Caenorhabditis elegans: one gene and its partner. The protein of the gene in region 1 interacts with the protein of each later gene in a pairwise test. Each region holds a gene or a part of one and is shown in the gene's direction. Other genes may lie near its edges.

Evidence for each region.
Region 2: the proteins of thoc-7 (region 1) and vet-1 interact in a two-hybrid assay, tested with the Caenorhabditis elegans proteins (one large-scale study listed by BioGRID).

Annotation. Positions count from the first base shown.
Region 1 is NC_003282.8:13,876,216-13,892,116, forward strand, and holds thoc-7 (THO complex subunit 7 homolog), read left to right. Parts: upstream 1-6,518; coding exon 6,519-6,671; intron 6,672-6,717; coding exon 6,718-6,822; intron 6,823-7,170; coding exon 7,171-7,238; intron 7,239-7,290; coding exon 7,291-7,496; intron 7,497-7,728; coding exon 7,729-7,829; 3' UTR 7,830-7,962; downstream 7,963-15,901. Other genes in the region: prdh-1 (Proline dehydrogenase 1, mitochondrial), read right to left, coding at 336-390; B0513.4 (Transposase), read left to right, coding at 3,941-4,067, 4,914-4,967, 5,038-5,141, 5,194-5,271; rpl-29 (60S ribosomal protein L29), read left to right, coding at 6,027-6,063, 6,218-6,369; lin-66 (GATA-type domain-containing protein), read left to right, coding at 11,996-12,134, 13,661-13,929, 14,048-14,328, 14,457-14,604, 14,655-15,059, 15,454-15,901.
Region 2 is NC_003279.8:6,192,752-6,208,652, reverse strand, and holds vet-1 (Very Early Transcript), read left to right. Parts: upstream 1-6,576; 5' UTR 6,577-6,586; coding exon 6,587-6,693; intron 6,694-6,778; coding exon 6,779-7,628; 3' UTR 7,629-7,855; downstream 7,856-15,901. Other genes in the region: ech-1.2 (Trifunctional enzyme subunit alpha, mitochondrial), read left to right, coding at 1-469, 516-1,039, 1,154-1,445; T05E7.1 (BAAT_C domain-containing protein), read right to left, coding at 1,769-2,038, 2,081-2,167, 3,146-3,487, 3,748-4,045, 4,093-4,198, 4,257-4,363, 4,542-4,639; col-55 (Collagen triple helix repeat protein), read right to left, coding at 8,460-8,900, 8,957-8,980; T05E7.4 (DUF7027 domain-containing protein), read left to right, coding at 13,757-13,814, 14,443-14,531, 15,463-15,874.

The DNA of each region.
Region 1 (15,901 bases):
ACAGAGCAAAACCCGAATTTTAATTCAATTAAAACATGCTTTTTTGGGGGTAAAAAGAGCAACAAAAAATTTTTTCAAACTGGGGAAAGCCGCCCTGGGCTCAATTTTGCTCCGAACTTAGTGCCGTTTTTTGCTCCACTGTGGGGCAAAATATTTCTAGTAGGATTTCAAATATTAGAGCATGAAGTCACACGGTTCAGGAGTTGTGAATGAAAACGAAGTGTGACATTTTTTCGCAAGCCAAAAAAAACGCGAAAAAACGCGAAAAAACGCGAAAAAGGGGCGGAGTCGCCACACTCGGCATTTATTAGAGGCTGCTTGGCAGAATAAATTACCTGACAAAAAGCGTCTTTGCAATGGAAAGTTGAGTCCTATCAAAGCTGCTTGCATTGGAATTGAACTGGAATCGAGAAATGAAGGTTTTTATTGGAATTTTTCGCAAATGGCCAGAATAATGAAGAAAATGTCAAAGTATAAAATGGTCCACGTGAAAATGTGTTTTTTTTGTAAATAAAAATTAAATCTCATTTGACCAAAGGTCCAAGTAATTTGGGCATTTAATCGAAAAAAAAAATCTCCTCGGAGTCGTAAAATCGCGGAAATCGCAGAAATGTATTTTTAAAGAAAAAAACAAGAAAATTAACGATTCCTCTAAGAAGTTAATCTCCCTTTTTAAATTCCCTCCAGATTGAGAACAGACCGACCAATCAGCTTTTTGTTCCGCCCGTTTTTCAACCAATCAGACGGTGTGGGCGGGAACCAAAAACGCTGATTGGTTCGAAAATGGGAGTGAATTCTTATTTTGGAGGGAATTCAAAAAAAAGAGGCTAGTTTGAAAATTGAAAAAAAAAACATTATTTAAATGTTTTTTAAATGTGGAGTTTCCTTTTTTTCTGTATTTTTTCATTATTATTTTGAAGTACATATTTCTGAATTTGAAGCAATTTTTGGTGAATATTTCGAAGAAAAGTTCTAAATTCACGGTACTTTACTTTCAACTAGATAACCAAGTTTCTACTATAAAGATATCCGTATAAGTGAATATTTTTGTAAATTCCAACATTCATCAACACCGTGAAACAGATTAAATTTTTATATTCATTGATTTTTGGTTGAAAACTAACTAAATCTTAGCAGTAATTTTTTAAAAGCTTTTTTAGGAGATAAAAAAAAGAAATTACTGATATGTATCTGTGATTAGAGATTTATTAATTTTGCGAAACAGGAAAATAAATTTTGAGTTATTTTTTTTGGTCTACATAGCTTCGAGTGACTTTTAAAAAATTGGGTAAACATAACTTTCCATCAAAATTAAATATAGCTATTTACAAAAATAATATTTTTGAAACAGTGAGAAAAATTTATTTTAAAATTATTTTAAAAATAAAAATGTTTTATTTATTTAAGACTATTTCGTCTAAAAAACTACTAAAACCCCATTAAAAAAATAATTGAAAAATCCGGCAAAAAAATCCTAATCCCCCCTAAACCCTGTGTAGTTTCAAAAGTAACAAGTGGTTAATCGTAGCAGGGGGCAGTTAAGTAAGAGAGCAAACGAATTGCCAGTTGGCCACTTCTTTTTGAGTCACACTAACAAAAAATGGAGCAAAAAGTGGGAGAGGCTCAGACGGCGCGAAAAAATGAAAAAAGAGTCCCCTCGTCTTGAGCAATAGAAATCCTTCAGCGGAGAGGCGCAGAGTTGCACACAAACATGCAATGACGTTGGAACAGGAGGTGGAGAAGAAACAACAAAATGTGTCTGTGCAGGATTGTTATATTGCTTTCTTTTTGCAGACGTGGGACAGAAGATGGGACACGCGGAGAGAATTGGAAGGAAATGATGTTAAATCTAAGAAGGAGTAAACTAAAAAGCATATTTTGATTATATAAACATACTGAAACAGTAAAAAATTAATTCATTGAATTAGCTCTAAAACATCTAGAAGAGTCTGAGTTTTAGAAATACCACAGGGTACATAGAAAAACATTCGAGGAAGAATGAAAAATTAGCTTTTAAAGCACTATTTTTGAACTCCTTATAAAAAAAGGAGCCACACCCATTTTCAAACCAAACAGCGTTTTCGATCTCCGCCTACTTCTTCTGATTGGTTGAAAAATCGGCAGAGCGAATTGCTGATTGGTTTTGCAGTTCTCAGCGGGAATTCAAATAGGATTTTTTTCCAAAATCGAAATATCACGTTTTTGAAACAATTTTCGTTTCCAAGTCACATTGGGGATGCTATGCAGTTTATTCTAAATTTTAAATTTGAAACAGTAAAAACGTTAGGTGTTATATTTTTACATATGATTTTTTCTGCAGCAACTGGACAGAAGTTGGGACACGTGGAGAGAATTGGAAGGAAATGACGTTGAGAAATTTGAAATTTATAAAATTTTAAAACCAAAAGTGTGTCCCATTAAACTGAAAAACATATTTGGATGATATTAACATAGTAAAACAGTGGAAATCTTATGTTAGAAGATTGTAAGAAGATTTAGAATGTCATGAAATTTTTTTCGGAATACGTAATCAGGAACTTCTTTTTTGAACGCAAATACATATTTTGCTGTCGACCACCAAAAAATTAGGAAAAAAAAACAAGAATATGAAAAATGCGAGGGGAACAGTGAAAACTCCAACTTTGAGAATCCTATTTTTGAATTCCATCCAAAATTAGAAGCCACGCCCATATTTGAACCAATCAGCGTTTTCGAACTCCGCCCACTCCTTCTAATTGGTTGAAAAATCGGCAGAGCGAATTGCTGATTGGTTTTGCAGTTCATAGAGGGAATTCAAACAGGGTGTTTCTGTTAGCCGAAATCAAAAAAATCACGTTTTTAAATGATATTTTTTGAAACACTTTCCAATAAAATTCCAATGGTAATTGTTATGAGGTAATGTTCTGAAAATTCTTAGAAATTTTTAGATTTTTTTCAAAAAAAAAAAAAAAAGTTTCCAAAAATCTCCCAGATTGTTTTCCCACTTTTAAACGTTCTGAAAAACATTGAAAGTTTGCAAAAAAAAATTTTGGAGCAATTCTACAGGCCTCCAAAGTAGTGAAAAAATGCACTGAAACGGTTTCAGACCAATGCTAGAGGGGTTGAGAGTGAACCTTTACCGCTTAAAATTTTGCAGTGACATATCCTTATGGAACACTTTCAAATGACACATGTCTCGTTTTGAAGTCTGACGGTAAACTAAAAAGCTTCCCTTGTGAATACTTATCAGATTATAAAATTTCCACAATTGTTACATAAACCATTTGGAACAATGAAAATATTTGTCTCCGAGAAATCTTCAAAATCTAGTGGGTGAAAATTATTTTTGAAAGACCACTTATACTCTGCAAATATTGATGTCTCTGTTAGTTTGGAGCCCTCGGGATTTTATTTTCTATTTGGGGAAAAAACTGTAGTCAGTGCTCTTTTTTGCTAAAGTGTCGTTATTAATGCTCAAATTTTTTGGAACAACTTTTATATAAACTAAGTGAAACAGTAGAAATTTGAAATACAGCAACAAAACCAATTTTCAAAGAATATTTTTGTTTTAATCATAAAATTTGAATTTCTTTTACAAAATCAGATTATGAATTGACGAAATTTCAAAAAAAAATTGTGAATAAGAATTGATATTTCTACATTTTTATATGTCTACAATGAAACAGAAACGAAAAAAAAAGAAAAACTTCCTCACTTCCACTACACATATTATTGTTTTCATTACATTTTCAGCCAGATCTTATCGTCTTTGACAAACACCGACATCGGTGTCAGAACAAGAGGAATTTTCAATTTTCTCAATGCTCTGGAATTTTTGAGCCGCGTGGGCGGAAAAGAGGCAAAGAGTTTCAGATCAAAATGAGGATATAAAAGCATCGTGGAGTTCTGGAAATTTCTCATTTTTTCTGTATTTCGCCCCCCCCCCCCCCCCCCCCCCCCAATGAATTCTCTCATTCTTATTTCTATCGCAGCTTTGGCTGTTGTCCACGCACAGTACGGAGCTCAGCAGGCTCCACCAGCCTACGCGCCACCGGCTCAATATTATCCACCAGCAGCACTTAATGATAGTGAGTCGTTTTGGGAAATTATTATTAATTTTTGTGTTGGGAAAAAAAACTATTTTTGGTCTCGAAACGACGTATTTTGGTTAAAAACAAATAAGTGTGCGCCTTTAAAGATTACTGTAGTTTCAAACTTTAGCTTTAAAACTAGTTTTCCGCGAAATTTTTTGTGATTTTATATCGATAAAAATGTATTTATTTATTAAAAAACTCAAATGTAACACTGAAAACATAAATTTTTGAAAAAAATGTGAAAAATCGATGAAAATCCAATTGCAATGAAACTTTGAAATTACAGTACACTTTCAAGGCGCACATACATTTGTATTTCACAAAAAGTTGTCGTTTCAAGACCGGGAACCTAATTTTTCGCTCAAAAATCGGAAAATTTTGCAAAATTGAATTTTAAAAAAACGGAAAAAGGCTCAAACCAAAAAATTTGGATAAAAAATCGTTCACTAATACGTTTTTACCTCTTTTTTCAAAGGGAAACCTGGTTTTTACCGGAAAAACAGATCTTTATAGGAAAAATAATATTTTCAAATTGTAAATCGGAAACACCAATACTTAAAACATAACAAAAACTTTCTTTTCACAAAAATAAACATGAATCACAGCTTCCACGTGGTGCATTTCGAATCCCTTAGCTCAAAAGATCACGATTTTAAAGTGAAAAAACCGAGTTTTTCTGTGCACTTCCCGTCTGCTTGCTCCCCCCGCGTGCACCACATGACGGACCAAAGCGTCATGTTTCATGTGGCACACTACACGTGGCTATTAACCTTTTGCACGAGCACCTAGTTTTTTCTAAATGCTGGGCATCATGAGGGAAAATCAAGACTTTTTTTTCAGATTATGTGTGCACAATCCAGGCCAACTATGGACTCTTCGGACAGGGCGGAAAGCGTTAGTTTTTTGTATTTTTTGCTTCATTTTTTTCCAATGAATTGCCATTCCGTTGATTTTTTCTTTCCAGATTACCGTCCAACGGTGAACTATTGCCAAGACACGTACAAGAACGATTCCTGTGATAAATGCTGCAAAATGGCCGCCAGAATCCAGGGAACTAACATCAAGGAGGTGATCGTTCACAGCTGTAGAAAAAAATATATTTTTAAAAATTTATTTTCAGGCCTCCATCATCGGGTTCAACATGGTCCTTGAGAAACAACCACTCTGCGTTTGCTGCTCACCGAATACTTCTTATTGAATGAACCGACGATAAACTCAATTCTTTTTAATTTTGACATAAATAAAATACATTCGAAATAATTCTGCAATTTGTCGAGACATGCACGAAAATACAACGAAAGATGGTAACCGTAGCGGCTTTTTATCAATTCTGGCCTCAAAAGTAAATTAAATTGTATACTGTCTGATTTACTTTTAATCTGAGCAAAATCGGTGAAATTAGAGTTTTAAAAATAAATTTATTTGAAAACAAGTGAGAAACATCATTCTACAAGCTAAATGACGAAATTTTAAAGAAAAACCATTTAATCTACTAACAGACAATCACTTTTTAACAATTTAACAAACAATTTTCAAAGTATTCGCCTAGTTTCAGCCGAAAATTGCTCGAAAAGTCTGAAAATAAAATGAAAAATTCCTCAGCTCGTAAATCGACACGAAACTAGTCGGCGTCTCCTCTTTTCACACACTCTCTCCGTAGCGGGTCTCGCCACGACTGCACACAGCTGAACGAGTGTGACCGTATCCGCCAGCCGCGTTCTTTTCCGTTTTCTTTCATTTTTCTTCCAAATCCTACAGTTTTTAACCTTTTTTGATTCTTTTTCGCGATTAAATTTTTTGAATTTGAGAATTATTAGTAAAATTTATGTATTTTGTAAGATCTCTCTTTTATGGTCCCAAAAATTCACGTTTTCGTCGTTTGGTTATCGATTTTTTGACTGATTCACATTTTTCTATCACAACTCGTCATTTTCAGGGTTAACCGTTGTCGTCATGGCCAAGTCCAAGAACCACACCAATCACAACCAGAGTGAGTATTTAAATTCAGATATAAAAGTAGTTTCTGTAGAGAAATCTCTTTTTAAAAGCATTCTTAAAGAATTTGAGCGATTTTTTTTTTGGATGAATCATTAAAATAAAAACTAGAAAAAAACAGTATTGAATATTTATAATTTAATTTTCAGACAAGAAGGCTCACCGTAATGGAATCACGAAGCCAAAGAAGCACATCTTCCTCTCCATGAAGGGAGTCGACGCCAAGTTCATCAAGAACCTCCGTTTCTCCAGAAAGAACAACAAACGTCAGATCAACAAGTCCGTCGAGTCCAAGGCCTAAATTGTTGTTAATTCGGATAAACTTTGTTACCTTTAATATCATCTGTTTTTGTTTACTTATTAAAAAATTGGTAGAAGTATGCGCCGTGCAGAATATTTGAATTAACATTCGGCTCATGTTGCGTGAACAAGTTGTATGTCTGACTTTAGATGAAAGAGGACACTTTGCTCCGAAAGCTTGTGGCCGACGGCGAAGGAGTTGGCGATGATCGTAAAGTTCAGCAAATTGCCACGTTTTTCCGTGAAAGTAGAAAGGAGGATGCGAAGACTTCTGTTCCCGAAGCAGTGAAGGTTACCAAAGCTGTAAGGATCCGGGGAGATCTTGTTCAGTGAAAATGTATGTTTTCAGCTCGAGTTTTTGGAGTTGTCGATGTTGAAGCAGAAAAGAATATCCCATATGAACAAGATTCATGCAACTGAATGCGATCAGTTTGCAGAGGAAATCGATCAATCGGTACGGAGAGGAAAACACGGCAATGGAGAAAAAAAAGACATATTGCACCATCTTTCCATTAAAAATTAGTGCAAAAAGATAGAAAATCACTTGATTTATCTGAAAATCAGGTTCATTGTAATTGAAATATTTGAGAAAGTGCTCAGAAATGTAAATGACCTGAAAATTGTCGATTACAGAGTTAGCGAGCTTTGTTTTTCAAAATGGATGTTATTTCCATATAAATCTAGTAATTTTCTATATTTTGACACCAATTTTTAATGAAAAATGTTAAAACGAGAGGTCATTTTGTTAAATTGCCGTTAAATATAAGACAGGATAATTATAAAAATTTAATTTCTATTCCAGATCGAAGAAATGTACAAAAAGATGGAGGTGGCAAAGAATGAGTTGGCCGATGCGAAAATTGTAAAAAGGTAATCGATTTTCCGAAAAATGTTAACCAATTTACAATATTTTATCATTTAGAAACCGTCAAGAATACCGAAAACTTGTTAATGTACTAGAAGAAGTACCGTCTCGAGCAGAAACTACACGAAAACTGGGAGAAGTCAAAGATGACTTGGAACGACAACACGAACGTCAGAAGGTGCTTGAGGCGAAGCTTATGGATCGAAGAAATCATCTCCAAGCATTCATGATTATACTCTCCAATTTTCAGCGTTTTTGTGCAGGTTCGTGTGCATTCATTGCGGAAAGTTGAGCTGAAGCCGTGAAATTACTGTTGAAATCAAACGATCGATCTGTGAATTTTGTAAAAATTCAGTAAAATCGCCTCACTGTTTGATTCTTTGAACTCTGCTTCATTTTTTGTTGTAATTTCAGTCTTCCCACGGCAGTCATCTATCACTTTTCCGTCTTTGAATTCCCATTCTTTGATCGTTCACCTATTTTTTTTTGTTTCAGAAGACGACGACGACGATGCGGAAGTCATGTCGAATCCAGGAGAAGATGACGATGCAGCTTCAGTCACCGAAAAACAACAAGAGGATGATGTCCGAAAGTAGACAGACGGCCACCACCACGACACACACACGAAAAAAAAAGGAGAAAAGCGGGCGAAAATACTTTTTCTGTCGATAATGATCTCTAATGCGATTCACTTCTCTCACTTTCAATGAACACTTTTCTCGAACATTTATTTACTTTTTTATTGTGACTTTTTGTACATAATTTTGCGGGATTTTTGAAGTCCTGCCGAAGGAAAATATACGAAATACAAAATGGGCATCGTGGGGAATGGAAAAATCATTTACTATATATAAAGCGCGTGTCCTTCTGTCCCTATGTAGTTTGATCTTTGATCAGAGCAACGAAATTTTGGGAAACCTTATGTTAAGTGCGCAGCAGACATCGGTCTCGCGACGATGGGTCTCACCACGATGGGTCTCGCCACGATGGGTCTCACCACGATGGGTCTCGCCACGACGGGTCTCACCACGATGGGTCTCGCCACGATGGGTCTCACCACGATGGGTCTCACCACGACGGGTCTCACCACGATGGGTCTTACCACGATGGGTCTCATCACGACGGGTCTCACCACGGTGGGTCTCGCAACGATGAGTATCACCACGACGAGTCTCACCACGATGGGTCTCACCACGATGGGTCTCGCCACGACGGGTATCGCCACGATGGGTCTCACTACGGTGGGTATCGCAACGATGGGTCTCACCACGATGGGTCTCGCCACGATGGGTCTCACCACGATGGGTCTCACCACGATGGGTCTCGCCACGACGGGTCTCACCACGATGGGTCTCGCCACGATGGGTCTCACCACGATGGGTCTCACCACGAAGGATGACAGACCCCGCCCACAATTCTCAGTGACTTTGGGTGTGACGTCACAGACTACAAAGACTACATAGACTATTTTTAAATTGATATTTATTTATTTAATTAATTAATTAATATTTTTTTATTTATTTAATTAATATTTATTTATTTATTTAAATAATATTTATTTATTTATCATTTACTATATATAAAGCGCGTGTCCTTCTGTCCCTATGTAGTTTGATCTTTGATCAGAGCAACGAAATTTTGGGAAACCTTATGTTAAGTGCGCAGCAGACATCGATCGAGGTCCGCGATAGACACCGTATATCTAATGTGTTTTCTCAAAAAGTCGGGGGCCCGTCGTAGGTGCGGTCCACGGCTGGTAGAACATATAGTTTTTCCTGTGGTTTTCCAAGAGTTCTGGGGAAATGAGACGAATTTTGTGCGAAAATTCAGGTTTTTTTGAGTTCTTAAATCCATCGTGCCGACACCCAACTATCGAAGTTTATTAAATTTTCAACAAAAAATCACTAAATTGTCACTGCGAGACCCGATAAAACCCACCCGGCAGTCCCAATTAAAATCAATTTTTCCGTTTCACTGGATTTATAAAATATGTTTCTCGAAAATTACTATTTACTGGATTGATAAGATGCAAGAGTGTTTCTAGAACAGATCGGATTCAGGTTCTGGCACGAAAAAAATTTTCTAAGCTACAGTACCCATGAGTACTGTAAAAAATTATTTTTATTTCTTTATGTTCAGTAATTTCTAAAAGTAAAAAAAAACATAAAAACGTTATATACTTTCGTGTGATAAGATCTAAGAGCAAGCGTATTGAGAAACCCTGCAAATTTTCTACCGTACTCTTGGGTACGGTAGCTGAAAAAAAAAGCGCTCGTTGCGAGACCTCAATCTGCAATTTTTCAGCGCTGCTTTTTACAGAAAAATAATAAGCTTCCATTTGCAACTCGTCTTCGGTATTATTATATTTCAAAAATAATGAAAAATTGCAAAATATTAATATTGGGTACTGTAGCTGCAAAGTTTCAATCGTTTCGAGACCCAGTACCGTGCTTTTTCTTCAAAAATCGCCAACTTGCGCATCTGAATAATTCGTTAAGCGCCTTTAAACGGGGATTACTGTTTTTTATTACATATTCATTTTCCGTGTTCCCAAAAAAATTTAGCAGCAATATAATTGATTAAATTAGCAGTAGTACAAAAATTTGAAACAAAAACCACAAAAAGTCGTTGCGACACTCGATAAAACCCGCCCGGCAGTCCCAATTAAAATCAATTTTTTTCCGTTTCACTGGATTTACAAAAAATGTTTCTCGAAAATTACAACAATAAAACGAGAACTGGCATGATACTTTTGAAAAAAAAATTCTCAGCTACAGTACCCATGAGTACTGTAGAAATTTATTTTTATTTTTGGTTTCTTTCTGTAGTTTTTGATTTTCAGTTATTTCTTGGGGTAAAAAAACAAAAAAATATTTAATTTGGTGTGAAAAGAGGAAACGTATTGGGAAACACTACAAATATTCTACCGTACTCTTGGGTACGATAGCTGAAAAAATTTCGCTCGTTGCGAGACCCCAATCTGCAAATTTTCAGCGCTTCCGCTTGCAACGCGGCTTCGGTAAAATTTTTGAAAATTTTAAATACAAAAACTACATATGACTTTATTGAAAATCTTGAAAAAGGCCAAATTCCTTTTTAAATAAACGTGGAAAATTGCGAAATAATATTTGTGGGTACTGTAGCTGCAAAGTTTAAGTCGTTTCGAGACCTACTACCGTGTTTTTACTTTAAAACTTGCAAACTTGTACATCTGAGTAATAGCGCCTTTAACCCCGGATTACTGTAGTCTATATTTTATTACACATTCGTCATTTTCCGTGCTCCCAAAAAGTTTAGCTACAATAGAATTGATTAAATTAGCAGTAGCACAAAAATTTGCAACAAAAATCACAAAAAGTCGGTGCGAGACCCGTTAAATCCAGTCCCAATGGAAATACGATTTTTTTTCCGTTTCACTGAATTTATAAAAAATGTTTCTCGAAAATTACAACTGGATTAATTTAATAAGCAGTGCGACATGAGCAAAATTTTCTGAGCTACAGTACTCATGAGTACTGTAGGAATATATTTTTTGTTAATTTTTGGTTTTTTTCTTCTTTAGGTAAAAAAAAACAAAAAACTATTAACTTTCATGTGAAAATATCAAACGTATTGGGAAACCCTACAAATATTCTACCGTACTCTTGGGTACGGTAGCTGGAAAAAATTCGCTCGTCGCGAGACCTCAATCTCGCATTACTGTATCTTATTACACATTCGTCATTTTCCGAGCCCCAAAAAAAGTCCCTAACAACATTTCGCAACTCTAGTACTCCTTATCACTTGAAAAAAAAATAGTAGACTACATCTTATCAACATGTTTTTTGGTTACTTGACAGGTATACTGTAGTAGTGCAGTAGAGCGCACTTGGCTGCGTGGAGGGACCCAGGACCAATTTAAAGCTTGTGAAGCGAGGATAATCCTTTGATGACGCTTCTTCTTCTTCTTCACATGCATATTCATATATTTTTATAGACTATTCTTCTGCTGCAGTACCCTTTCCTGTGTGCTTATTGATTTCCTCTCTCTCTCTCTCTCCATCCCTTTCTCTCTCTCTCAGTCCCCCAATAGATAGATAGACCGGGCCGGGGTGGGCTGAGTGGGTTGTGTGTTGCGTTGCTGGCTCACCCGAACGAAAATGAGGGTGAGTGCGAGAGAGTGCGGAGACGCAGACCTGGTGTCCCTCGGGCACGCTCGCGCACACATATACAGAGTGGTTAGAAGAGTCGTAGACGCCGAGACAGAGAGATCACTACTCTCCGATGAGCGTTTTTGCGCGAGCGAGCGTCCGTGAGCGTGAGTGTTGAGCGGCGGGCACTCTCTCTCTCTTTCTCCTTTCGGGACACAGCGCACATCTTCCCGTCTTTCTCTGTTTTTCTCTAGCTGTCTCTCTCACACGATGCACTCTCCCTCTCTCTCACTACACACAACCCCCATGTTGTTTCTTTTCACATACTTTTTCTCCGTCTTCTCCCCTATTTTTCGTTTTATTCTTCTTATATTTCTATTCAGTTTAGTTTTCATACATATATTTTTGAGTGCGTATGTTGCTGCCCAAATTCTGTTCTTTTACTTTTTCCTTCTAAGTCATCTCCGATCCTTAACCAACTACTCTAATCTAATCAAATCAGTATTCCAGTATTCTCGAGGCACCGAGGATCCATCACGTCATCCATCCCGAACGATCGATCGACGTGTTGTGTTGTCTGTGGTGTGTGAATCGACGCGACGACGAACGGACTGAAGACAGCTTGAAACGGGATGTCTTACGAAATGAATAGTCTCTTCTCGTCGAATCAGCAACCACTCGGAGGGGGACCACCACCTCAACAACAATCACAGCAGCAGCAACAGCCACCACAGTCGTTATGGTCACTCCAACAGTTTTCGCAGATGGGAGGTAAGGAAGCACCCCACCAGTACTCAAAGATCAATATCGATCCGAGCCCCCGATTGTCTAGCTCTAAGTTCAACAATACCTCTCCTACAAGGAAGGCTTTAGTGTGCATCGTATAACGGTACTGGATACGATAACATATATAAAAGTTCATATGCAAATCTTTTAAAAGCGTTAATATGTTTGATTCTTAAGCTTCTGCTTTATAACCATTGTGAAACAGTACTTTTTTGTTCGTGTGCACCATAGGACTAAAGGACTAGAGTTACTATAAATGTACTCCTAGATACCCAGGTTTTCTAGGTTAGACCCTTTAAGGAGTACCGTAGATTTTTAAGAGATCTCGTGTTGTAGTCTTTACAGGATCCGCTTGACTTATTGGTTACTGTAGAGGTACTCGAATCACGGTACTGGATACGTAAGCATATACCGTATTTCGTCTATTAATCGTGATCTCTTTTAGTCTTGCATGCAATACTAAAACAGGAAATTCGGAATTAAATTGGACCAAACAATATTTTTGATTCTCACGCGTTTGCTTTATATCCATTGTGTAACAGTATTTTTTCTGATAATCTAGGTTCACGGGACTAGCCAATTAAAATTATAAAGGTACTCCTAGGAACCTCAAGTTTTCTACGGTAGACCCTTTAGAGGCAGCCGTATCATTTGTGAATATTACGGAATACGGTAGATTTTCAAGAGATCTGGTACTGTAGTTGTAGGATCCGCTCGACATTTAAGGTTTTGTCGGAATGAAATGGTATTACTTTTCCTTCCTACCTGTTAACCTTTATAGATATTATGAAGCAATATTTTGTGAGGGGCCGGGTCCCGCAGCGAAATCATATTTTTTAATAAAAATGTGATTAGCATTACATGCCCCTGTAAAACGGAACCTTACGAAGGCAATGGGTAGTGCAAATGCACTCTACCGAACCAGGTTGCAGTGACTACAGTTATACGGCACACAAATTGCGTACAGGGATCACTTCTCGAGCACCTTGTACCCACGGCCATCATATAACTTCTACGTACCTTAACCTACCGTAGTTTCAACTTTGTGCATTGTGTCAAATGCCTAGGACGCTTATGATTACGCAATTTTTAAAGTACGGTGAGCAATTAGAGGGGACCTAGAATAAATTCGAAACGCACTCCATTTTATAGTTTTAACTTCCATTTCACCCTCCATTCAAATTTTTTCTAGAACAACCTACTAATTGAAAACTGAGGTAAATTTGTCAGGTGCCAATATTTCCGTTAAATTTGAAACAGTAGAATTGTAAACTAATAGTAAAAAGTTAGTGTTCAAACATTCGATCCCGTACCGTAACCTATCGTAGTTTCCACGTTGGGTACTATCAGCGAAAAAACCTAAGATATTCATGATTAAGCAAAAATTCAAAACGAAGTGAGCTCGCATTGCGGGTTCATAATTAATTTTTAGGTTTTAATATTTTTTAAAAATCAAATAGTTGAAACTGCAAAATTTTTTAATTTTTCTCCCAGACATCAGTTTATTTCAGCCCCGGACAACTTTGGGAACCACGCGGTCCCATTCATGCCAACACTCGGAATGCTGAATCAGTACCAGAACCCACATCCACTTCAGATGGTCCCTCCACAGCCTCTCGTCACTCCATCCCAAGTCCTTCCACCGTCTATGGCTGAACAACAGAGAGCCGACACCATCCATGGATTCGGAGTGTTGACTTGGTTGTCTGCCAAGGCTGGTCTGATCACTTGCAAGGACAAGATGATCATCTCGTTCCAGCTCAAGGACTTTTGTGATCAGGTTAGTACAAACCCTTTTCGATTATAAAGTACCTTATAAAATTAGCTAATCTAATTACCCATATGATCTCTATGATCTACCAAGGTTAGCCTCACTTCAACATCTGACAAATTTTCAGATGCTCAATGACTTGACTTCCGTGCTTCGTGTTGGTTTCACATTGTCGTTCCACGCTGCACTCAATGAGACAAGCGAGTACACCGCCACCATTGTCTCACCAATCTATGGTCCCGATGCTGATGTTCTCTTTGCAAACTCCCAAGAAGTCGACCTAGAGGCGGCAAATCCAACTCCACCAAACTCGAAGGATGCCTACTCGCCGGCTCTCGAGCAGAAGGCGATTCCAGCTCTCTTGGCAATTTTCCAACGCCACGGATTGCAGCAGATTCAGCTGAGCAGGTAGGATAGATGTTTTGAAAGTTGCTTGATTGCTAAGTTTCGCTCTTTTGTGCCTCCTTTCTATATATTAACTGACCATTCCCTTGCTCACCTTATTTGTTCGACGGCATCTCCATGACACCCTTCAGGAGTTTCAGCCTTCACTCTCAAATGTCCAACTGTGGGGATGATGAGCTATTCCGTTATGTTGGCACATCATCGTTGAAGCGTCGTCAATTCGTGGAGCGTCGTACTCATCTCTTCCGTCTTCAAAATGATGACTCCATCATTCTTCAGGTAAGCAATTCTTCAGAAGATTTAGATATTCTAAATCTATTCCATTTCAGTATCCAGCAGTGTATCAAGCTGTCTACCAATTGGCATCCTATCTTCTCCGTCGTGGTGGAGCCACATCAATCCAGTCGCTGTTCGACTACTACGGTAGCCCAGACATCATGCCAGAAGTTCGTAGCCATACTGGAGAAGGACGTCAGGACTTCCTCAACCTGCTGACTGCTCACAACTGGGTCTTTGCTCTGTTCCCCAACCGCACCTATGTCTCTGTTCGTCGCAATCTGCCAAACTATGACTATGTCGGATTCATCAAGCAGCACTTCCAAGAAATGGATATTACTCGTTCCCAGCAGATGGCTTACGGACAGCCACCACGTGGAATTCAGAGAACCATGTCGGCTCAGATGGGCAGCTCGTTCGCCACTGGAAGACCACAGAATTTGCTCATGCAGCATCAGGTAAGTATATCCATGATTAGATTAACAACGTAGCGGTTTTTTCCAAAATCACAAAATATTTCACAAGATGATGAAACAGTAGTTATCACTTTCAAATAGTTGAGTTGTGAGGTGAACACTGCAATGCCGTAGAGCTTTGTCGTGCTTGATCAAAAGACACGAATAGTTCTAGAATATCTGTAGCGCTGTAATTTTCAGGAAGCAAATTTTCTGGGGCCACAGTAGATCACCCATCGTTCTACTTTGACAGCCTATATCTCGGGTGTCCTTAGCTTTATCAAAAATTGTTCAACTATAGCGCAAACTTTTGTAAATTTCACAAATTCGTAACTTGACCATGCTCTTCACGTGCTGAAAATTCAAATTTCTATAAACAAAACTACATCTTTTTCAGCACGCCATGACTCCAGCAGCGACCCGCTCGGGCTCCCTCTGGGACTCTCAATCTTCCCTCTCTCAAAGCGGAAACAGTGGAGACCAATGGAGCCCTCTCTTCTCCCCAAGCACCTGGTCGAACAACACCAACGCGAATCCACGTCTCACTTCTCTTACTCCGTTGAGCTCGATGAACGAGACGCTTCTCTCGGGAGTCAACTACAACTCGTTGCTCGCCATGCCGCCAAGCGCCAAGAACGAGAGAAGCATTGGTGTTCAGGCTGATGACTTTTTGGATCGTATGTCTTACAATCCAATTGGACGTACCGGATGCACTTGTCAGTGCCAGTGTGGAAGAGGTGGAGCTGCGATCATTGGAAACACTCGTGGATCCTCTTCCAGAGCTTCTGGAGGATCGGCAAGCCCACCAAGTGCTGACGGTGCCAGCCAGATTGATCGTTTCTCGC
Region 2 (15,901 bases), on another chromosome or scaffold:
TAAAGCTCTCATTGGTCTTTTCGATGGATCTACTGATGCAAAGAAGAACAAATACGGCAAAGGACTTCCAGTCAATGAAATCGCAGTCGTCGGTGCTGGACTGATGGGTGCCGGAATTGCAAATGTGACCATCGATAAGGGTATCCGAACAGTTCTTCTTGATGCCAACCCGGCCGGAGTCGAGCGAGGACAGAATCAAATTGCAACACATTTGAATAAACAAGTCAAGAGAAGAAAGATCAACAAATTGGAAAAAGAGCGAATCTACAACCATCTTGTTCCAACAATTGATTATTCGGCCATGAAGAATGCTGATGTTGTTATTGAAGCCGTCTTCGAAGATCTTCAACTCAAACACAAGGTTATTAAACAAATCGAGAGCGTCGTTGGACCAAACACAATTATTGCATCAAACACTTCAGCTCTTCCGATCAAGGATATTGCTGCAGCATCTTCCCGCCCTGATAAGGTTAGTTATCATTTTTAAAATATTAATATATTTCATACTTCCTCAGGTTATTGGAATGCATTATTTCTCACCAGTGGAGAAGATGCAATTGCTTGAAATTATCACTCATGATGGAACATCCAAAGAAACACTTGCCACTGCTGCCCAGCTTGGTCTTAAACAAGGAAAACTCGTTGTCGTTGTCAAAGATTGTCCAGGATTCTTCGTTGTCCGTTGTCTTGGACCAATGACAGCTGAAATTATGCGTCTTCTCCAAGAAGGTGTTGATCCAGCTGAACTTGACAAGCTCACAACCAAATTCGGATTCCCAGTCGGAGCCGCGACATTGGCTGATGAAGTTGGACTCGATGTCGCCGAGCATGTCGCTCAATTCCTTGGAAAAGCTTTGGGACCACGACTTGGTGGAGGATCCGCTGATTTGTTGTCCGAATTGGTGAAGGCTGGTCACAAGGGACGTAAAACTGGAAAGGGTATCTTTGTATATGGAGACGGAAAGAAGGGAAGCAAGAAGGTTAACGATGAAGCCACCAAGTTGCTTCAAAAGTACAAGTTGACACCAAACGCATCTGTGTAAGTTTCAATCCATTTGCAAAAGTTTCTACCGTTGATGTTTATGATTATCTAACTCTACAAAGAGGCTTTGATAATATTAGAATATTTACATTTCACTTTTATGATTTATAGCTCATCACCAGAAGACCGTCAAATCCGTCTTGTCTCTCGTTTCGTCAATGAGGCGCTTCTATGTCTTGAAGAAGGTGTTCTTGCTTCACCATCTGATGGAGATATCGCCTCTGTCTTCGGTGTTGGATTCCCACCATTCTGGGGTGGTCCATTCCGTTTCGTTGATCTCTATGGAGCTGATAAGTTGGTGAAATCAATGGAAAAGTTTGCTGGAGCTTACGAAGCAGTTCAATTTGAGCCATGTCAACTTCTCAAGGATCATGCCAAGAGCGGAAAGAAGTTTTACAACTAATCATCTCTTCTTGATCTTCGCGATTGCTGTTTTTTCGCCAATTTTCCCCTAAGTATAAACAGTGTGTATTTGTATTCTATGTGCCTATAAGATGACTCTTTTTTTGTTACCATAGATTGTAGTTTCAGACCGCACATTTTGTGTCCCCTATTTATTTATTCGTTGTAAAAATATTGGTAGAGCATTTTACGAGTCTTTTTTCACCGCCGCTCCATTTTCTTTGTTCTTTTTTGAATGAACAACATTCAATTTTTACCGGATTTGCAAAATTTAATATATTGAAAAATACAAACAACTTTATTCAGAAAATATCCTAGTAATAATTAAAGTTTGCATTGCAACGATTTCGAACTTTTCGTAGACACTGGGAGGGTTACTGTACTTTCTCTTTTCCATTCTGGAATTCTCTTTACGTCACCAAGATGCTTCTTGAAGAATTCAACGTTCTTTTTCCAGGTCGTTTCTTGTGATTTTGAATGTTGATAACATTCTCCACCGAATCCCCATAACATATTTATTTGAGCATTGTAGATGATTCCGTGGTGGGGGAAATATGGAAAATAAAGGAAATGACCACCGGGAACAAGTTCAGACTGAGAAAATGTATTGGTTTCAAAAAAAGTTGAACGCCTCACCTCAACATGATGTCCGGTCTTTCTAAGGTTTCCACAAATATTAATAATCGATGGAACTGCATCCACAAGCATGTCATCGTAGCATTGCTAAAAAATAAATAAACTTTTTTCTACAGTTCTGGAAATTAAGATGTTGAAAATTAAATAAAACAATCTAACTCGAAAAACTGTAGAAGATGTTTTAAAAATGTTCAGTTCACTAAAAATCTGCAATAACCTCCAAATCAATAGCGAGTTGTTTTTACAAAACAGTTTTAGCAATAAAAATCTAGAATGAATGTCTTGCTATTTTTTTTGTTCGTAAGAACTAATCCTATGATTCTCAATTTACCAAAACTGATAACAAAACTTTTATTATTTTGAACAACTTTTTTATTTATATTCAAAAAGTTGCCCATATCCTATCGTAATTTTGAAATTCGACAAAAATAACGTGTTTTCTACAAATTTCAAATTGTATTTATGTTTCAATGTGTAGCATTTAAGAGTACTACATGTCACAATATCTTCAAAAAACTCTCATGGTTGATAAATTTGGCAATTTACCAAAATTCTGAATAAAAGACGTCCAAGTATTTTATCATGACAATATGCCATTTTGGGTTATTTTAAGTGTATTTATACTACATACATCCCCATTGACGTTGAAGTAAAAATGTTTTTTTAAACGATTTTTTGTGAAAACAACTTGCTCTAGAGTTACAGCCGATTTCAGAAAATCAGCACGTTTGACGCTTGCAGCTGTAGATTTTTTAACAAGAAAATTAGTGAATAACTATTTTTAAAATTAATAAACCCCCAACATGAACAATATTTTGTTAGTTGAACGTTTTTGAAAATGCCTTACTGTTCGTTTTTTTTTCAAATTATGATTATATCATTATATTTGATTCACAAAAACAAATTTATCGCGTTCACTCTATATCGTTCAAAGTACAAGTACAAAAGTAAAGTGAATGATGTTCTATGGAACATTTGTAATTCGTGATCCCGAAAATTTTCGTAAATTAGTTAATTTCTACATTTTTTGATTAAATAACATTTTAGGTTAAACATAGAAATTACCACAATTCTATAAGCTGTGTTCTTGGGTGCTCTTGCCCATGGAATACTTGTTGTCGGTGTCAAATTGCTATACAAATCTCTGAATGCTGGTTTTTGGCGTAAAACTTGATTCACAAAATCCGACATTCCTTCATCTAAAATTTGTGTTTCCATTGGTTTTCCATTTTCTTTCATAACTGCATTATCTCTACAAAATGCTGCTGAACAATTCAATGCAACAACTGCAGACACTTGATGATATTTTGTAGACAAATAATTTGCAGTTAGACCTCCAAATGATTGTCCTACCAAACCAATTTTTCCGGAGCAATATGGTGAATTTTGTACATATTCAATAGGTTTCTGCAATAAGCTTTTTGAATTTTTTTGGTCGGCGGATCGTTTTTATTTATCAAACAGATTGCTCCGTGAAGTTCGTAATATTGCTTGGTGCTAGTTAATTTTGATAATTTGAGTGATTATCTGTGATAAAATATACGAAGCATTCACACTGCTATAGAAAAACTGGAAAGTAACAGGAAACACGAGCCATGGACTTGCAAAAGGCCCTGTTTCTTCGACATTGCTAAATTCAGGAAGCTACTGTTCTGGCATCACAGTACCTCAAAAAACTCAATGTCAACGTCCGGGATCAATTTTGGCAAATCCTTTTTATATGCAAAATATGCAAAAGTGAATGTAAGAAACCCTTCGGAAGCCAATACAGCAGCATATCCACTTTCTAACATTCCATTTGATCCAGGAATAAATATAACAGCAGGGAATGGTCCTTTACCAGGTGGTTTGAATAGTGTACCATATAATCCATTTTGTTCTACATTTATTTGTTCAACCAATGGATGTTTCCAGTGTTTTTTCAGATGAATTTCATCTATGATTTTTTTAGAATCATCCAATAACCTGAGAAAAATGTGTTTGATTTTTCAGATATATACAGATATTCTCACTGTAATGTGTAATAATACGTTTTTGGGTCATAAGTTTTGAAAAAATGACCTGGACGGATACTTTGAGTTGGTTCAATTGATATAAATAATCCCATTTGGTCAACTTCTGGAAATATTAAAACAATGAACAATTGGACTTTCAGTTACGAAGGAAGTAGAAATACCTGTATAAGTTCCTCGAATTGGTGCATCACGAGATAAATCAATACATCCCAAGGAATCAGATCGAGCGACACAAAACGATGCATAGGTTCCACGGTCATAATGTAGTCTAAATGGGCAAAATTTTTGGCATAAAAATGAATTCTCGGGCACCTGTAGGCGCTCAGTAAGGCATGTTTATGCCTACAGCTTTATCAACATGATATCTACAGAATACACTTAAAACATCATGATCTTCAAAAACTCAAAGATACAAATGAAGAATAACAAAAAAATTGAGATCTCACCTCAAAATGAATGTATAACAACTCCATTCAACGAGCCCACTTGCACGAATATTAACCTTTTCAGTCTGGAGACTGTCCACTTTATCAACATGAAGCATTTCTTGAAAACCTGAAAATGTAAATAAGCACTTGATTTTCAAAGCAGTTTTTGGAGGTTTCTTTTTATCAATTCGAATTCTGCGATAAGAAATGTTGCATTTTGTTTGGTTTTCCATCTAGTTGATCAGAAAGAGGGAGGAGCTTTTTTTTTAGATAATCAAGTGACTACAAACCGATCAAGTGATTGTTACAATAGACTCTTAAAGTGCATTTCCCGAAAAAAAAATTGAAATTTGTCTAAAACCTGTTATTAAACTTTTTAGATGAATACTGATAGAAGGCAACAAATGCTTGAATAGCTTTAGTAAAGTAGAATATTACAAAGATCTTGCTAATTAAAAAAAATTATATACAAAGATTTGACTCATTATCAATTGTCTGATAGTCAGATTTGCATGCCACATTTTGAAATCATATTCTTTTTATTTCTTAAGAAAGAAAAAAAAATTTAAGAACAACATGCAAGTATTTGTGTGTTGAAAACTAGGGTAAATCAAATGGAAGTGTTGGTAATATTGGCAAATGTCTGAATAACTTCTGTATTTAGGAATTACAACAAATATTGGTGGGATTTCGTTTGTATTTTTGGTTTCAATAGATCAATGAAGCTACTTAAGTGAACGATTTAAAATAATTAAATTTCAGCCGAGTGTCATCGTCAGTCTAGAGTACATTTTATGGATTTTAATTTTCACTTTAAGGATAAAGAGGTGCCACAGTTGACAATAAAACGGATTTAATCTGGATATCAATTCATGTTCGGACGCTGCGACCGCCAAATAAATATATTACGTTTTTAATACTTCAATTCAGTCTTTCCTTTGTCTCTTTTTAAATCCTAGTTTGAAGAGCCCCATACATATAAACTTAACTTCCATTAGCTATTTCATGGTTCTATAAATCTAGGGTACCAGTTTTTGTGACCTTATATTTTGGTACCTTCTCAATCTGCCGTTTCAGGGAGAGGGAGACAATAAGCAGACGATCTCATAGAGCCTTTCTGGATATCGATCCAAATCCAGACGCTGTAATGAACTACCTAACATTCACTCTCATTCATGTTGTTCTCAATTCATTCTTCTCATTTTATCCAGGTCCCATTCGGTACGTTTATTTTTTTGTTCTTATTTTGATTGTTTTAATTTTCTGAGATATCCCAGTTGCAGTCCTAGTAAGTAATTGTGTATTTGTATTAATTCCTTTAAAAAATCTTCAACCGAAGACGAAAAGAGAATAGAGCCCTCTATTTCAGAATACTGACATTTCTAGTGTAAATAAAATAGTGTAAAAAAGTATTACTTTGGTTTTTCATGTACCGGATTTTTCCTGATCGTATTGCACGTATATCTGATTTTAAATAGCTTATATGGCCTTCGAGACTGCTAGATTTTCAATTAAAAACTGGAATAGCATATTTATAGCCAAAATTAATTTTTGAAACTTGAAAGTGATAAAATTTTTTTACATCTTTGAATGTTAACATTTTTTTCTTTCTTAAGGTTTGAGTGGGATGAAAGATTGATAAAACCTGCGAGATTTGTATCGATGGTACTGAATTAACAATAGTGGGAGCTAGATTAATTGGAATTGGAAATTTAGTTTCTTTCAACGTTTACAAAATGCCCATTTTAGTATAGCCATAGATTTGGAGTCAACTACATTCTGAATGACTTCTCTCGATCCAATCAATATATTATGTTCTTCGACAGAAGATCACCATACAATGCAACGCTTTTCCAAAATTGTGAATATCGATCCATATTTGGACGCTGTAAATTCTCACCATCGTTCTCTCTCACTGTTTTTTCGATCCAATTACTCATTCTCACCTAACATTCTCAAAAGGTGCATCTTTCCTTTTTTCATTTATTTATTTGCTCTAGTATTTTCTACTGCAGTTTCACTAAACGTTTCTTTTCAATTAAATATTTTTCAGAACTGAAACTATGTTTGCTGAAAATCCATTCTTCACTCCCACCGAGTCCAAGTTGAAATCGGAGATCGCACTTCTTCAAATGAAATTGGATGACGAACGATTTGATCATCAGAAAACGTAAGTTGTTTGAACTCTAGGACAACGTGCAACCTGTTATATAGATTATATTGTACTAACCCATTCTTAATATGTTCAATTTCAGACGACGAGAGCTTGCCAATTCTCGACTTGAGATCTCTGATCTGAAAGGGGAAGCGAAGTGCCATGATTCGGAACTCAATCGTCTCTACACAATAATCAATAATTTGGAAAAGAAGGTTGAAGATTTGAATGGAGAACATCAAAAGTCATTGGAAAAATTGAAAGAACGTCTTCATGAAAAGGATGCTTTTATCGAGGCTTGTGAAGAATTCTATGATGAGAAGAAGATCAATGTGAACAAAATGACATTGATGAAACAAGAAATGGAATTGAAGAGAATCAAAAAGAACTTTGAAGAATACAAGGAAAGAATGACTGAAGTTGAGAAAAATTTGAACGAATTTATCAAAAGACAATCGGCCATTTGTATGGGAGTGAGATATGAATTGAATATGGAAAAGGATTCGAGAGAGAGATATTTCAAAGAAGCTCAACAATTGAAACAAGAGAAAGATGTATTGGTACATGAAATCAATGAAAGAGAAGTCAGAATTTTGTGTCTGAGAAGTGATATTCTTACATTGAAATCTGAAAACAACGACACCTCTAAGGAACTTGATGAAATGAAAAATGGAACCAAAGCTTTGAAACATGAACTTGAAGAGACCAAGAAAATGAAATCCGAAGCCTTGTCGAAATATGAAGAATCTCAAAAAGAGTTCGAACAGTTCAACTTGAAGTTCCAAAGATTGTGCACAAAGTTCTACGAGGAACGTGTCTCTTCTCAGACAACTTCACCTAAAATGAAAGAACATCTGGCATCTGCTAAGAAACGATTGTCTGCTATCAAGGAAACACTCCAAAATGAAGAAGATTTTGATGAAACCGGAGAAGTAACCAATTATCAATAATTTAATATCACCCAATTACTTTTTCCGTGTTAATTTTTCTTCTTTTAGCTACTATCGCTTTTTTAGCATTTTTTCGATTTGATACTATTGCTTTTACTTTACCATTTCCATTGCACTTTTTCGTTTGTTGTAATACGAAACAATACGGCTTAATTTTTCAACGCCTCGGCATTCTTTCAATCCATCTTAAAATGTTACTCTCTTAATTATTCAATAAATGTTTCATTAAATATCGGAATCACTTTTTAACGTGGATTTTTATAACCAAACAGGTGTACGAAAAGTTTACTATCAATTTTAAATAACAGGCAGAATCAGAGAACTTCACATCGAAACACAACATGAAAAGTAAAACACACGACTAGCGATAAAAACTGTTGGAAAAATCAATCAAATTCAAGAGGAATTTGAAAAGTACGTGCTGAAGGTGGTAGATTAGTGAAAGCTATTACAATATTTCCAACAATTGTGGTTTCATCTTCCATGTTCTTTTTTGAGTGAAATCGAGATGAGTTTTTTGAGAGAGTACTCTAGAATCTGTAAAAGTCGATGATGTAGCGAAAAAGTGCAAATATCATTTTTGCATGAAAAACTAAAACTGATTAGATAAGAAATGACAACAATGGTTAATGATGTTGACCTATGCTCTGCTTGTATACCGTGATTAGTGTCTTTGAAATCAATTCCATAAAATAAAATACGTGAGTGTGAGTTCAAATATACCATTAGAAGACAGTTCAGACCTAGAAAATGTTTTGCAACCAGTTTTGTATATTCTCGAATTAACAATTTTTATGCAAAATGATTTATTTGTAGGAAAACAAAGGGAAGCTAAGCTGAAACCTTGTCAACACGCTTGCGGAAGACCTTGCGATGTTTACGAACTACAACGGAACGAGATGGGCATGGACAATGAGCAGCATCTCCTCCTGGAGATCCAGAGTTTCCTGGCGCTCCTGGAGTTCCTTGTGCACCGGCTTGCCCTGGCTGTCCTGGTGCTCCTGAGGCTCCTGATCCACCAGATTGTACTGGTTGTCCTGGTCCTCCGGCTGGTCCTTGTGGTCTTGGTGCTCCTGGTTGTCCAGAAACTTCAACATGTCCTTGCTCTCCTTGTGCTCCAGGCTGACCTGGTGGTCCTGGTGGTCCAGCTGGGCATCCTTGAGATTGGGATTCACAGTTACATTGTGCTTGACGCGTGTTGGCTCTACGTTTAATTCTTCCAAAGACATCGATTGGTTTCACCATTGAGTTCCATGCCTGTTGTTCGTTGAACTGAAACATTAAAAATATGCAAATGTTTTTCGAAGCTTTGGTTAAAAAAAATATACTTTGAACTCAGTCATAGTATCCATAACCTCATCGTAGAAGGAATTGATATCATTGAAACTATATCCAACAGCGAAAAGACATGCAATAACTGCAACTCCACTGCCTATGCTGACAATTCTAACCAAAAGTGATAAGTGGGGAGATTTTTACACGGCCTTCAAAATTAAAAATATTAGTAAAGGTTTGTAGTAAATAGTTTGGAAAATGTTCCGGGTTCATTATACATAGTTTGCAGAATGTTTTAGCAGGAATAACAACTCTACATCTTGAACTGAAATTTTTCACTAGATAGACAACTGTACTTTTAAATAAAATATCATGCGATGTTAGCAAAGAACTGGTAATCAGGGAAGCAATTCTGAACAAACTAGACTGAAAAAATTGGAAGATTATGAACTTGTACAGAAAGATTTCACAATCTGACAAAAAAGTAGAATTTTAAATTAATTATTTAATTTCTAGAAGACCCAGTTCTCACTTTTGGAACAATTTGACACGTTCTGACGTCGTTCTTCTCATACATATATCTCCCCCCACATGTTTTAAATAATTCATTCGTAGAAGGTATAAGGGTAGTATGTAAGCATCATCTATTCTTTCTGCTTTCCGGCTCTTTCCCTCATAAAATGTGAGCATACCTACCACTAATCTTCGTCCTTTTTTCAATGTTCACTACTTTTATGGTTCTTCTCTTTGTTTGGAAGTGAAAGAGCTGCGAGCATCTTGTTAGATGTACCCGTAAATTGAATTACACTCTCTCTCTTCTTTTCCATTGCAGCAAAATACTGCGAACAAAGGACTTTTGATTCTAGTTTAGTTGGAAAGAAGGAACTTCTAAAGAAACATTGAGAATTCATCCGATTCAATGGTTTTTTCAGTCACATCTCAATAGCCAGTGGCTCTTCACAAATTCTCATCCAAAGTCCCATTTATTTTGACTAATTTAAAAACCCGAAAAACTCAAAGAGCATTTCCCACCAACTGACTCAATGGGCTCCCACTCGTTTTTGTTTTTCTTCCATTTCTTTTTCAACACCACATCTTCACTCATTCTGTTCATTTTCTCTATTTTTTAAACCTTCTTCTGGACACACACTCAGCACTGATACACACCTGTTATTACATGTCGGATGACTCTCTGATTTCCAATCAATTTATCTTTTTGTCTGGGGAGCAGAAGTGAGATACGAAGAGCTCACTCATCATTACGATTTTCCATTGCATTCGTAAAGTTGAAAATGTTTAAATTTGTTAACCTATGTACCGTAATCTTTCAAAAATGGATGATGTTTTTTTTTAAATCTATGTCATTCGTAAATTTTGAGATCCGGATGTCCTAAAAATGTCTGACATAGATTTGAGAAAGCATAGATTTATTCTAATTTTCAACGTGAAAGTTTTGTCTCTAAATTTTGAGATTCTTAAAAGCTGCACAAAGCTTTGAAAATGATGAAATTTGAAAAGCTTTGAAACGTTGAAAATGAAAATAAATCTATGCTTTCTTAAATCTATGTCAGACATTTTCAGAACATCCGGATCTCGAAATAAACATGATATTCGTGTTTAACGTGTTCTCAGCATTATAAAAATATTTTTTCGACCAAAAAAACACAAGTTCGTTTTTTTGCCCATTTTTCGGAAGGCAAAGGTCCAATTTCGTTTTTCAGAGCGGAAGACGATTTTGGAGATAAGCCAAAATTTTTAAAAATCCTTTCGGAATCTCATAGAGGACTGAAAAGTATGACTATTTATCAAAATTTGAAGAAAAAAAAATGTTAAAAATTAATGATTTTTCAGACAAAAATTGAAAATTACAGAAAATTGCATGTGACTTTTCTGAGACTACTGATTTTAATACGTATTTAATGGATGAAATATGTTAAAAAATTCATAAAATCATTTGAACTTTTTCTGATTTTTTTTGTTGTATTCAAATTACGTAGATCAATATTAATAGTGACTTTAAAAAATTCTGCATGATAGTAGGAATTGAAGATGACATTTTGGAGTTTCCTTAATTTTTTTAACGATGCACCCAACATGTTATAATCTAAATAATATATATTTTAATTTAAAACAATGCAAAGTTAAATTAAAGTCTATAGCTGAAAATGTCTATTCAATAGAATATAGTGAATGGAAAATATAAAGCGGACATAAAAATCTATTTGCTGAAAACATGCATTTTTTTTCAAATTGTTATTTTCAATAAGCATGTCTAAAATTAAACCCCAAATTCTCTAAATTGTTTCAATTTTAGATGTAATCTTTGAAGATGAAACAACAATTTGTTTCACAAACTAGACAATTTCATCTTTGAAAACTATCTCAAATTTCGTAAAATCTAAGAAACAAATGATCATGAGACATGACACCATTCAAGATCTTTTCCTATCTCACTTTGGCTCTCACATGAGCTCGTGTGAAAGAGAGAAAGTTCTTTTTTATATTGTCATTTTTTTTCAGTTTCCTATTCATCATAATCATCATCTTCATAAACTGACTTTTGTTATTCTAACTCAACCAGGTATTTATTTGAAAAAAGAAAAACAATACTGTCAGGAATGAAGTTTGAAGCTGAAGATTATAATATTATTTTCCGTATTCAAATAATTTTTTTTGGAACATATTTTTCATATAGAATCAAATTTATAATTATCTAATCTGGAAACATTCAGTTTTCTTTCATCAAATCGCCATTTTCTTACTTTATGTGTTGAACACTGTTTAAAAGTGTAAACTTTAAAATACCCAAAAATTCAGTTTCTAATTCATAATTCTAATTCAGAAACACCACAGAGGTAAAATGTGAAAAATCAAAAAACAATGAAAAATCCCAGTTTCTTTTGTTGCAAATCACCATGTTTGAATTTCCTCCAAAATGAAAACGGCAAGACAAATCGTTGTTGATTGATTCAAGAGTAGGTGACGCTTTAGGAGAAACGCTGTAGAATGTTGGATTTATAAATCTTGCTCGATTTTTTTTGTTCCTTTTGCGGTAATCCTGAATTTCAACTCGGCGCGCTCCGTTTTTTTGGAGTGGGTTTTTCCACGATCTCTGTTATGGCTGTCATGGGAAGTTTTACTACAAGTTCATTCCCAGGTCAAATTTGTCACAATAGCAGACACCAATGGTTTCGAAAAACAAAATATCTCGTTAAATTGATTGGAACTTTAAAAATTTGTCCCCAAACTACAAAATTCTATTTCCATGCCCATTATTTCCCCATGTGCCTGCTTCGTACACCTGTGAATAGATATCTAATGATTCTTCTTTCACCTCAGCTCAAAACAATGCAATTAATTTTTAGTAACTACCATGAAATCGAACAAAAGTTCTATTCGCCAACAATATTTTCACATCAGAAGACAACACAAATATTTTGCAATTTCTTTTTTTTTCATATTTTTTGCCTTTCTTACACAGGTTAAAATTTTCATTGACTTTTTCTCACTCTTTTAAAATATTCATAAGTTCTTCCCCTTCTCACCTTCTGTTCTTTTCGTCTCTTATATCTGTGTAGTACCTAACAGTTGCTCTTCTTTTTTTTGCTGAAAGAAAGAGCAAAAAAGAAAAAGAAAAGTTGGACTAAGGCCAAGTGAAGTAGAAAGAAAAAAGATGAGAGGAGTTCAGTTTTGTTGCATTTTCCGCCCACCTTATGGCTTCCAATGGTCAAAACTCAGTGAAAGATATCAAAAATTTTCTGAATGTCATGGGCAAAAACTTTTTTCAAACTATCGTAATCATTCAATAACAACGTTGTCAGTTGATCTTACTTCTAGATTTTTAAAATGTTAATTTGCAGAATCTTGAAAAATCTCAAAAAAAAGAAAGCTAAGGTAGGCTTTTACAATTTAAATTTTCTTCCAAATTGAAAGAAAAATTAATTATAAATCATTTATGTTGCTCAGCCAGATCTCCTATTCCCATCGTCATTTCCTTCTTTGCAATGCTCGTAATCTCCTCTTTTATGTTTGATAATCTATTCAAATAATATTATTATGCGTTTATTATTGCCTATCTTTTTCAAAAAAAAAACCAATGAAATGACAAGGCCAAGCCAAAAAAATAGCTGGACAAAACAAAAAGCTCAAAGCCCATCCTTTTCTAATTATTTTGCAAAGCCAAAATGAGATGTGCTCTTCAGAGCTTTTTTTGGTGGCTGAACAGCAAAAACAGAGGGGGACAAAACATGCCATAAAGGATATGGAAAACAACGTAAACCATACAAATTTGCTGAAAATTTTGTGGTGTTTTTTCATAAAGTTTGAATGGTATTTAAAAATTTGTTAATGAAATTGTCTGAGAAAACTTCTTGGATTTTTATATTCATTGACCAGCCGTGGACCGCACCTCCGGCGCGGCCCCCGACTTCTGGGGCTGAAAACTAATTTTTCTGAAACTACCGTAACCCTACAGTATTCCTACCGTACCACTATTGTACCACTACAGTACCCCGACTATATCCCTACATTAACCCCAACTCACTATCCCCACAGAAGCCAAAACTTCACAGACTACAAAGACTACATAGACTACAAACTATGGACACACAGAATAAGCGCTTTATATATAGTAAATGATATTCTTGGAAAAATTAATGAATTAGTCTTTTTCCAATCTTTTCGCAGTCCTTTCCTTCTTCTTTTCAATTTCTTATGAGTTTTAAACATTTTTTCATCGTTTCTATAAATGATTCATAAAGGGAAGTACTTCCCCTCGGGGTATCGTCTCAAATTTTAATTATTTTTTCTTCTGGTTCGGTTTTTTCGAAACTTTCAACAGTAGTTTTTACAGAATGGATTTCGATCCTCATTCAATTAAATGGCAGTGCTGCTGCTGTTCACTACCATCAGGTAACAATTTAGGATTGTTTTTTTTTCTAAACTTCAAAAAAAAATTCCGAAAAATCAGAACAAACGTTGTTCAATATTTTTCGAATAATTCTGGAAACAAAATAGGGGAGACTGACAATGAAATTTAGAACAAAGTTCTTGGTAGGGCGCTAAGAAGGCGGGTGAGAGGCGCCTGAGCCACACCTCGATCGACCATTGTTGATTTACGAGCGGTGTGAACTTTAAGAGAATAATTTTAGGAGGTACTTGTAATAGAAATTATCTAATTGTATTAGTTTATTCAATTTTGATTCATAGATGACACACAAATTTAACTAGTACTCAAGGAATTTGGTAGAGCACGGTTTCAGGCCCCTTTTTGTAGCTTTCAACATTGGACGCTTTTACTACAATAAGAAACCCGCCAGGAAAACTCATGGCCCACGTTTTCGCTTTTTTACGGTTTTCCATGTTCAGACAAAAATGAAGGAGTATTTGAAGCTTTTTTTGTGCGAAATATTGGATACGTATCTAATAATTTTTGGAAGGAGAACAACGTATTCTAAATCAAAATTTTTCCAATTTTAAAACAGTATCTGCCATCTAAATATATGTATCTCAAGCGAATAATTGAATTAAACATTTCCAGGAATGAGTCTACTTGCTTCATTTGAATTTGCATTCTGTGCAATCACTGGATCTATCACAATGTACAACATAGTCCATCAGAAACCAGAGGTATGTATCCATCATTATGAAATAAAATTTTATGATCTCATAACAACAAGAAGATATGTTTATTTCATCATGAGGTCAGGTGGCTCAAACTGATGAGTTCACCGATCAAAGGCCGAGGAAAAGGTCTTTGGAATTTATCAGATGGAATGTTTCGCTTGTTGATAGCAAATCAACAGATACGGGGGTTGATATTAAACAAAAACAATTGAAATTATATCTGGATATGTATATCTACAACCAAGAACTTTTCTCCAAATACTGTTCAGAGAAAGATGGTACTATAGTGACCGAAAATCTCTTCAAAAAACTAATAAATACTCAGTTTTCAGCTATAGTAATTTTGTAACCCTGCCAAAGAAAACGCTGTTTTCTACGATTATTTTTTCATAATTATGATTCAAACACTTGTATCTAAACATTGTTGGCATTCGAAAATGCAAGATTTCTCTTACTAAAATACAAAAATTTCAAAAATTTAAATTTACCAGAACCTGCGACTGAAAATTTCCAATGATATACAATTTTTTGAAGTGTTTCATATTGATATTTAATGTGGGACTAATATGAGTATTTTGAGAGAAAATATTCACTGCATCCGTGTATTCAAGCATAATTGATATCCTTCCACCACCCTGCTGTAGTCTATTGGTTACTGTATAGTTGAGGAGAATTTGAACAATAATGTAATATTGATTTTGCATAAAGGCTGTTCTAATAAGCTATTTGCTTTATTTGTAGTTTCAAAAAAAGTTGCTGAATAAAAACAGTGTAAAACTCACAAAACTAGGAAAGTTTATTAATTTTCACTAACTGTTCAAATAACTATTCAAACTATTCAAATACCTAATATGTAATTTGATCATAAATCCATCTTTTTGAAAATAATCTTTAAAAAGTAACACTTTTGGCTTTCTATGTATACTATTTTCAGGATCTAACCGCGTTCGAAGTTTGCCTAGTCGGTCTGATGCTATTCTTTGGATTGACTTGTATTATGTTGATAATCGGAGTTCAAAAGCATGCTCATCAATTGATATACCCATCTCTTCTGGCACGAGGACTTACAACTCTTTTCCTTGCTGTTTTCGGTGTCTCAACTGTGTTCTCCTCGACAAGATCACCTCATGCTCCAGCTGATATGGAAGCCTGGAGACGAGAAAAGAATCACGCAAACGATGAGCCAAATATGGCTTTGAGATTGGTGCTCTTTGTGTTTGCAATGCTCTTTTTGACTGTTATTATCTTTTATTGCTCTTATCTTGTTGTAAGACTGATTCATTACGAGCAGGCTTACGCAAGGTTGAAGGAGAGAAGAAGCTCGTTGATTCAAGCCGGAATGATCGGTATGTCGAAAAATCGCCGTTTAAGTA